Regions from separate parts of the Mus musculus genome. Here all the other regions are reported to be linked to region 1. The links are microRNA targets in miRTarBase. Many come from high-throughput screens and were not tested one by one. Region 1 holds a microRNA gene; each other region holds the end of a gene's coding sequence.
What was found. Region 1 holds the annotated microRNA mmu-miR-344c-3p (UGAUCUAGUCAAAGCCUGACAGU, at 2,132-2,154, shown strand). A microRNA usually pairs through its seed, bases 2 to 8, with sites in the 3' UTR of a target mRNA and lowers its output. Matches are read on the target gene's strand: a 7mer-m8 pairs with bases 2 to 8, a 7mer-A1 pairs with bases 2 to 7 and ends in A, and an 8mer does both.

Region 1 (3,242 bases):
CTAAGACATACTTAAATAGAACCTATAGGAAAATACCATTTAAATATATGAAGATTTTGAATAAGTCTGAGATGGACTATACAGGAGAATACACTGTGCTTCTCTTGTACCATTATATGTGTGGGGGTCATAAGTGAGGCACAGTCACCTGCCTGTTACCTCAAACTTCATTCAGTTTTCAGAAATAATATATTTGAAACTGGTGGAGTCCAAATGACAGAATCAGAACGAGGAAAGAAAAAATATTGCATGGACAACAGTGTGGTCCTCAAGTTATGTTTATAATGCTATTTTTTTGCCTTTAAGATTATAATATGCAGATCCAGATAGATGGTTCAGATATCATGGGAATATGCGTATCTGGGGTTTATTTCCAGAATACTCATATTAAATTAAAAAACAACAGGCATACATGTATTAGCAGTGATACATACATGTATCATGCAGTCTCATACCATGAGCTAGGGACTCAAAAATCACTGGGTTTTGAGGGCCAGCTAGGCTAGAATGTTTAGCAAAATCCAGTCATTGGAGTTAAATATTATCTTAAATAATGCACACCTACATTGAATCTCTATATAATAGATATGTATACTCAATAGCAACCATGTATTTCTATCATTAGAGATTGTATGCAAAATTCTTATATTATGTACATCCAGCCAAAATCCCAGGATGACTAGAAGCAGGACTCATGAAATCCCACTTGTATTAGACTGACTTTTGGTATTTAATAAGTTGGTGGAATAGTCAGATTTTTCTCAGGGATCCTTACCTGAGAGACTACAATTTTTCAGTAGATGGTGCCATATCCATGTACAGACAAATGCCTTAAATGAACTCAGATTTATTAAAGAGACAGAACATATATTACCTTCTGATGGAATAGGAATAGCAGTGATTGGAAGTAAAATACAGTGTACCAAAATGGAGTGGATTTCATAAATCATTTCCTGAATAAAACATTTTATGACTATCAACTGCACTGTATGCACAATTCTTATATTATGTACATCCAGCCAAAATCCCAGGATGACTAGAAGCAGGACTCATGAATTCCCACTTGTATTAGGCTGGCTTTTGGTATTTAATAAGTTGGTGGAATAGTCAGATTTTTCTCAGGTATCCTTACCTGAGAGACTACAATTTTTCAGTAGATGGTGCCATATCCATGTACAGACAAATGCCTTAAATGAACTCAGATTTATTAAAGAGACAGAACATATATTACCTTCTGGTGGAATAGGAATAGCGGTGATTGTAAGTAAAATACAGTGTAGCAAAATGGAATGGATTTCATAAATTATGACTATCAACTGCACCTAAGAAAGAAAAAAATAAATAAAAGAAAGCCCTACCTGCATTCAAACCTAATGTATAATCACAATAACACAAATATCTTACATATATTCACAGAGAAATTTTGAAAATATATGTATATTTTAAGCATTTCTGAGGTAACAATTTCTAAAATTATTTTTTGTCATTATGACAATCATTATGGTAACTATTTTGGAGCAGTGTTTTAAAGTAGCATTTCTGTCTTTCAGTCCTAGCAGATTTTAATAAGACAATTCAATAGCTATGAATATATTATGTAGTATAATTCAAGAATATATTCATACCAGTGGGGGAAGCAGACACAGGAAGAGACCAAAAAGTCAGTAGCAAGCTGCACTTCATATCCCAGAGTCACAATCAGAAAAATTGAAGCAGAAACTGAGGCTTTCTTCTATATATACACAATATATTTCCAAGCAGCCCCTGACATTATAAGCCTCCATCATCACATACTGGTACTGTGCATTGTTAATTGGAGGAAGAGCTTTGGCTAAATTGTGTTTTTTTTTTTTTTCCTGGCTTCCCTTTTCACTTTCCTTGTTTCTGTGGCAACACACAGGGAGGAGGGAGAGATAAATGAATCAGCAGCTCTAATGGAAATCTCCAAGGTTACCAGGCTGTGCTTTGCATTCTTATGTTTGAGATCTCTCTCCTGATTGGCTCTTAATCCATTCTGTATTTGCATGTACACATTCCTCCAATCAGAAGCAAAGGGAGCAAATAAAAATTTCTTCTGCAAGGGTTTTTTTCAGTCAGGCTGCTGGCTAGAGTACAGCTATCAGCTGGTACCTGATCTAGTCAAAGCCTGACAGTAAACTGCTCCAGAGAGGAAGACTGACTGCTCTTGCAGGAGACTGAGCCAGTGGAGATATATCATAGGCAGGGACTTCCTTTCCTGCTCTGAGTCCATGGCTCCTGTTTATTATACAGGAAATATATTTCTCGCAGTGAAGCCAGTTTCTCCTTTAAAATTTTCACCATTTTTCCAGGCTTGGGATCCTTCATCAACTTCAAAAATGATTATAAAATTTGCCAGTCAGTTTCTGACAGATACCAGGTATATTCTATTCCTACAGTCCAGGGTAAGACCCACTATGAAGAACTGCTCTGGTAGGGATAGTTCTCACATGACCCACTGATATACCCTGAGAGGCCAACCTTTAACATTTCCAGACCACTATCTTACCTGTCTTCCAAGGCCTTCTTAGACAAAGAAATATAGCATTAGATATATTACCTACTATCATTTTGTTGCCTTTAATAGAATTGGGAACAAAACACCCATGGAATTAGTTACAGAGACAAACTTTGGAGCTGAGATGAAAGAATGGACCATCTAGAGACTGCCATACCCTGGGATCCATCCCATAATCAGCCTCCAAACGCTGACACCATTGCATACACTAGCAAGATTTTGCTGAAAGGACCCAGATGTAGCTGTCTCTTGTGAGACTATGCTGGGGACTAGCAAACAGAAGTGAATGCTCAGCTATTGGATGGATCACAGTGCCCCCAATGGAGGAGCTAGATAAAGTACCCAAGGAGCTAAAGGGGTCTGCAATCCTATAGGTGGAACAACAATATGAACTAACCAGTACCCCCCTCCCCCAAGAGCTCGTGTCTCTATCTACATATGTAACAGAAGATGGCCTACTTGGCCATCATTGGAAAGAGAGGCCCATTGGTCTTGCAAACTTTATATGCCTCAGTACAGGGGAACGCCAAGGCCAAGAAGTGGGAGTGGGCCGGCAGGGGAGTGGTGGGGGGAGGGTATCGGGGACTTTTGGGATAGCATTGGAAATATAAATGAAGAAAATACCTAATAAAAAAAGAAAAAAAGAAAAGAAAAAGAGTATCAGAAGTTCAAAATTCCAATTGGTTTCTTACAGTAAGGATTGTAT
Region 2 (3,119 bases), not on the chromosome of region 1:
TGTGTTGTATGAATGGTTCCTGGTTGTCTGAGTTCTCTGGCTCTTGGAGAAGCCTCTTCCAACCTCCATTTGCCACAATCCTTCCTGAGGTAGGCTGAAAAACTTTCTGGGCCTCCTGTCCATGTGCCCTTTTCCTCTAGCTGACTTGAGTGGGTTTTGATCTTACAACATGTGGACCACGGCTGGGGACACATTATGCATTTTCTCCCTATGGTGAAGATGGGCTTTGCACTCAGGGCCCAGATCCTCTGCTTTAGACACAGTGAATGGCAGTGAGCAGTCCCAGGACAGGATCAACCAAGTGCCTGAACGAGCTCACTGGCTCTGGGGAAACAGGGATAGGTACCCGCTGTGTCCTGTTTTCAAAAACGACAGATGCCTGAGTTTTCCAGACCCTGACATGACAGTCATTCCAGAGGTCTATTTTTATACACACAGAGGCAACATCAAAGACCAATCCGAAGATAAAAATACATTTCTTTTAATTGGTCTTGGCTTTGATTTGTACCAACAAGCCCTGGAAACACCAATACAATTTGATGGTAAACAAATAGCACTGTGGCAGTTAGAGAAAACACAGACCCACTTCCCAGGCAGGCGACTGCTTCCCAACCCCCCCTCATGCTCCTTCCTGTGCGTGTCCCAGCAGTAGCCTGGCTGAGGCAGGGAGACCACCGGTGTGGGGCCAGTGTGGGATAGGATACATACTGAGACATTATTATTATTTTTAAAAAGGAAAGAAAAAAAAGTTAGTTTGAAACCAAATTGTGCAGAACTGACCACATCCATACTAAGGATGGAGATAGTCGCATCAAACACTAACTCGGTCTGCCCGCACTAAGATTTGCTTCTCTGGACTTGAAGAAATTTAACAGCAATTTTACTTGAGAATCTGCATCCAGGACCAGGATGCCATTCTAAATGCACTCCTTCATGGAGTGGAGCCTTCCTGTGCTGTGCAGGAATTGGTCCAGGCATGGCGACGCCCACCTGTCAACCTAGCACTGAGGTCTCACCCTCCATCTTGGGAGCAATTTTGGTAGGAGATGTGCTTTGACTAAGACAAGGACACTCACAGTCCCCGAGGATGGGCGGCCATTGTGAAAATGGTGTGAGGTTGTTTTCTATTACTGCTACCTGGTGTCTTGCTCTACACCACTGGGCTGTATGACCCTCTTGGCTATATTAACCTATCTTTAAAACAGAAAATGGCTGGGTGCACTCAACTTTTTAAATAAGAAGCTAGGCATCTGCTGCCACGACCTTAACCTTCCTACACAGGTTTTAGTTTTGAATGTAATGGTCAAACTCAGCACGCTGTAACCATGCAACTACAAGTGACACTGCACAAGACCTACTGTGACACAAGCAAAACATCATCTCCATTTTTATGGCCTAGTGATATACTTTGTGACTGAGCAGGCAGAGGACAAAGTCACCACTTGGTTCCTTCCGGGAATGGCATTCGGGAGTCAGTTGGTTCAAGACTTAGAAATGGAGCCAGACGTGGTGGCGCACGCCTTTAATCCCAGCACTCGGGAGGCAGAGGCAGGCCGATTTCTGAGTTCGAGGCCAGCCTGATCTACAAAGTGAGTTCCAGGACGGCCAGGGCTACACAGAGAAATCCTGTCTGGAAAAAACAAACAAACAAACAAACAAACAAACAAACAAACAAAAAAGACGACTTGGAAATGGACCCCGTGACTGTGTGGAGCAAAGCCGGGGCAGGTACCCGAGCTTTGCGATCCCAACAGGAGCGAGCTGCAGTCCTCCCGAGGGGCAGCGGGGTGAAAAGTAGGGCTCCAGCACAGGGTGCACAGAGTAGGACATACTTGGGGAGATCCTGCGCACAGTAGGCAAGCTCACAGAGCTCTGAGTGCTTGAGATGCAGGGCCTTGCCACTTCAAGCCTGCAGCGCCTAACGGTAGAAGCAGGAGCTGCGCCTCCTATTGTGCTTAATCCCACGGCCTCTCCACCTCTCAGACCCAAGGTGGTTTCCTTAAATAAGAGCAGTCGCCACGTAGGCTTCTCTCTAAAGAAGGAGCCAGATTTGCTTTGGTGGAAGTCTGAGCAGCTCCCTGGGTTCCGCACTAAGCAAGAAGAGCTGTATAAAACCCATGGAGGCAGCTAACAGGCTTCTACTCCTGGGCAGCCAACTTCCAGGTCAGGCAAGAGCTGGGGTCCAGACCCTACTGGTGCAGTCAGGGAGGCCCTGGGAAAACTGTGCTAATGTGGGCAGCAGCCTGGGGGCTACTGGCCCTCCTGAAAAGACACTTTGGGCTTGCTATAGAGGTAGGAAGACAGGGACAGGAACAGGCCAGGCAGAGGAGGAGAAGCCTCCGGGAAAAGTGGCTTTCCCCTACCCCCCCACCTGTCTAGCCTCCTGCTGGTCACCCGTAGAAAAGCTACACTATTGCTCATTCCATTTCAGGAGTCAATCCCAGGAAAAACAGCCACATGCCCGCAGATGGGCCTGAAGCTGCCATGCTTTCACAAGGGACAGAGACTGCAGCCACCCAGAAAGGCGTGCAATCCACAGTGGTGGTGCAGCAATGGGTATGGAGGAGGGGGCTCCGTGTACCAACAGCACTCAGTCCTCAGTGAGGGTGTGCGCAGATGTGCACCGTGGGCTGCAAGCCTAGCAGGAAGGCCTGTGGTCCAGGTTCAGAACATCTGTCCCACTCATGGGTATTTGTAAAGTAATTAAAAAGCCCAACTTTAAAAGTTATAATTTATAGAACATCCGGTATAAAAGCAGGCTTCAGAAAGGGCTTCTGGCTCTCAGAAGAAGTCCGCAGCCCTTGGCCTTCTCTTTGGGGTGGTGGCTGGTAGCCTCATGGGCGACAGAGGAGTGCTGGCCGGGGAGCTCGTGGCGGTCTTCAGCACTCCGTGGAGTGGCCTCTGCTCAGGGTTAAAGGCCACTCTGGAGAGGCCTGTGGGGCTGACCAGGATACTCTTGTCTGTCTTCTTAAATTCTGTCCCAAAAGAAAGTGAGGCTATTTACTCAGTTTATTTAGTTGGGTGTCATGCCTGTCCTTTCCAGGTACACAGGGCTCTTGGCTTATATTCCCAAGGCCCCTGAAATGCAGGAGACACCTAAGATACATCAAAGGGAGCAA
Region 3 (3,119 bases), not on the chromosome of region 1:
AAGAATCACTCAGGACACCATTTTGTATGTTTATTACAACTTGAGGTGAAGTCACAGGACACTATTTACAAACCTCACATGGGGAGGTTGTCAAGGCACAAAACCCGCATTATGTTTACACACACACACACACACACACACACACACACACACACACACACACACACGAGGGGGAGGGAGATCTAGTTTCTGTCCTACCAAAAACGAGAGAGAATATATTTAAGTACAAAGGCCTACCCACAGTAAGCAGGGGCACTGTCTGTCTGCAGGCGACGTTTGCACTCTAACAAACAGATACAGTACAGGGACATCCAGTCATGTTTACGTTCTGGGTGCCGCATCCTGTTCTTGAATACTTCTACAATTCATAGAATCTCTTATTTCCCTATGAGCTGCTTCAGCGGCCAGCCCCAGGCTGGAGGTAAGCATGCGTTGGGGGCCACACATGTCACTGGGACCTGGCTCTGGAGCTTCTGCACCTGCTCAGGCACTGCCACAGAGCCATGGGGCTGAGACAGTAAAGTGCTCCAGTCGGGGAGACTGGCACATGAGAATGGAGGTCCTAGGAGGGGGGCATGGCCCAGGACCAAGTATGTCTTTGGTGTGTGTGTGTGTGTGTGTGTGTGTGTGTGAGAGCCATGGTTGCAGTTTTAACACCAACTTATAATAACCACAGGGCCTCATGGGAACCATGAGCAGGCTCAATACATCAGGAAAGGAGGAGAATGCCAAAACAGCTTTCAAACCACACCAAATCTAACGAAGCTGGGAAATGTATAAGGATATTTGGAATCAGATGATCTCAATCTAGAAGGAAGCTTATAGGTAATATACATATACATATAAACACACACAACCACGCATATGCACACACACACACACATGCACACACACACAGAGGAAAGTATGAACAAACGGATTTCTCTACTTCATAACATAAGAAAAACCACTGGCTTTCTACAGGCCAAAAGCAAACAGTCGTTGGCACTGCTGACTTGCGAGGAAACTCATAAAGCTTCCTGAGCAAGCTGCCTGACGTCTGAAGTTCTCAGAAGTGAGAGGGCTTGCCATCCCCACTCCTCCCATGCTCTTTCCTCTTGGTCCTTTTTTGTATCTCCCCTGGCTGTCTGCCTACACGTGTGCCGTTTGTTTTGGGAGGAGCTGGAGCTGGGCCACAGCTCTCCACAGGTTAGAAAGTGCTCCTCCACCAGGCTGTGCACTTCCAGTCCTGCCTGGTCTTGAAATAACTGACCAAATGTCTGGGCTGTGGTCCTAAGGGGCAGGGACCAAGAAAGAGCACCTCACCCCCACCCCAGACACAAGTAAGCCCAACAAGATCCAAGTATTAAGAAAATGGAGAGAGCAAAGCAGGCAGACATCTTGTGGAAGACAAGTGCTTTACTCGGCATAATGGAAGCTTCCTATGTCTGGGAACTGATGGAAGTAGAGCCAGCCCCTAACTCAAGGGAATAGAGATGAAATTCAGGAATCACAGGCCAGGTGGGGTGAGCAGGGCTACATCCCAAGAAGCATGGAAAAGGATCACCTGAGCTCCTTGCTCCTGAAATGACCTGGCCAGTCCCCGAGAAAGCGTGGGCTCCAGCTCACCTGATACACACAGCAAAGCAGAGCCTGTGGCGGCAGCAAAGCCAGCAACCAGTGGAGCTAGCGGCTTCAGCAAGCGGTGTGTGAGCCCACGTCCTCTCAGGATAAAAGAGGCAAACACAGCCACCGCAGTGCAGTGAAGCGCACGAGAGCCCTTCCCGTGAGTCAGCTTGATTGATGGAGCTGGGCACAATCCGGGCAGCCCCTAGCCCTTGCTGACACAATACACTTGAAGATACCCTGGGCTGAAGCTGCGCATCCGTGTGGAGACAGACCGAGGGGTCTGAGGAGTTGAGGGAAGCAGGAAAAGTGTGAATTTCTGCTACAGGAGCAACTGAGCTAAGGAGGTAAATATTTACAAAGTGGAAGTGGCGTACCAGAACAGAACCTCTGCCGCTCGAACTCATTCCATTTCCTAAGAACTGTTTTGGTAGTAATAACTCAAAAGGAAACTCAAAGAGGCCATGGCAGAGGAGAGAGGGCAACACCATACTCTTCCTGTTTAAAAAATTCTGTACAGTAATTTCTAAAAATAAACTAAGGCAGCCTTATAAATCAGCTGGCTCAGTTCCCACTGCAGGGTTATGGAATCCTCTGAGTAGGTAGTGGGTTAAGAATTTGAGTATAAAAATCATCCATAAATTGGCTAAAAAGCTTTACTTTCTGAAAGAAAATGAGACAAAAAAAAAAAACCCCAAAAACAGTTATCAAAGAAAGTGGGTTTAAAAAAATTAACACGCCACATGTAAACACCTCTCTTGCATATTTCTCTGTTCCTAGGATCTGTACATTAAAAAGAGAAAAGCCCTCCCTTGTTTACATTCACAACAAATATTTACTGAAAACTCGGCCATGTGGTGATGAACAGAGGTTCCGTTCACATCGACACAGTGCAGAGCGCTGTCCATGCTCAGCACATCTCTCTGGGATAGAACCACTGGACACACTGTCGCAGCACCAAGAGAGGGACATGACGCGTGGGGGTTCTCCCAGTCTGAACAAGAGCCATGTCCGCCACGTATCCTGGCTGCATGTAGATCCTGTCAATGCCTTCTCCATACCAGACGGAAGATAAAGCGTAACAGTTGTAAGATAACCATTTGAGGGTGGTCTTCAGCCTCGCGGTAATCATTTGCAAACACCTGCAACAACAGAAGCAGAGTTCTTAGCAACTCTCTCGTAATCTGGAGAAGGCGCGTATGCAAGGCAAGAGACATAGCCCATCTGAATTGCAGGGAGACTCAAATTCCAGGGGGGAAGGATGTGACATCATGGAGTACAAGTGTACCGAGTGAACTCTCCATCACTGGGGAAACAGAGCGAACAGAAGACCAAACTATTCCAAAGCTATCCCGGAACTGTGAACCTTCACATGGGTACTGGACAGGAGCCACGCCAGGTCACTGATGATTGGTGTCTCAGGAGACGTGACTGAGGGTGTGGGAGGGAGCAGAGGAAAAGAAAAGAATGAACTTGGGTTTCTGTACTGCCAGCCACGTTCACTGATATTTAGA

Region 2: the mRNA of Rrp1b is a reported target of mmu-miR-344c-3p. Seed matches in the 3' UTR shown: 7mer-A1 at 1,579-1,585.
Region 3: the mRNA of Bcl2l11 is a reported target of mmu-miR-344c-3p. Seed matches in the 3' UTR shown: 7mer-m8 at 180-186.

What each region holds. Positions count from the first base shown.
Region 1 is chr7:61,836,235-61,839,476 of GRCm38, reverse strand. Mir344c (microRNA 344c) reads left to right here and starts at 2,075; the gene lies at 2,075-2,166. All of the region lies in intron 6 of A230057D06Rik (RIKEN cDNA A230057D06 gene), which reads left to right.
Region 2 is chr17:32,060,204-32,063,322 of GRCm38, reverse strand. Rrp1b (ribosomal RNA processing 1 homolog B (S. cerevisiae)) reads right to left here. Exons shown (of 16, transcript NM_028244.2): 16 at 461-2,975. The coding sequence ends at 2,782. Among named protein-coding and RNA genes, the nearest start is that of Rrp1b, 26 kb to the right of the region's middle.
Region 3 is chr2:128,157,859-128,160,977 of GRCm38, reverse strand. Bcl2l11 (BCL2-like 11 (apoptosis facilitator)) reads right to left here. Exons shown (of 4, transcript NM_207680.2): 4 at 1-2,747. The coding sequence ends at 2,649. Among named protein-coding and RNA genes, the nearest start is that of Gm14009, 10 kb to the left of the region's middle.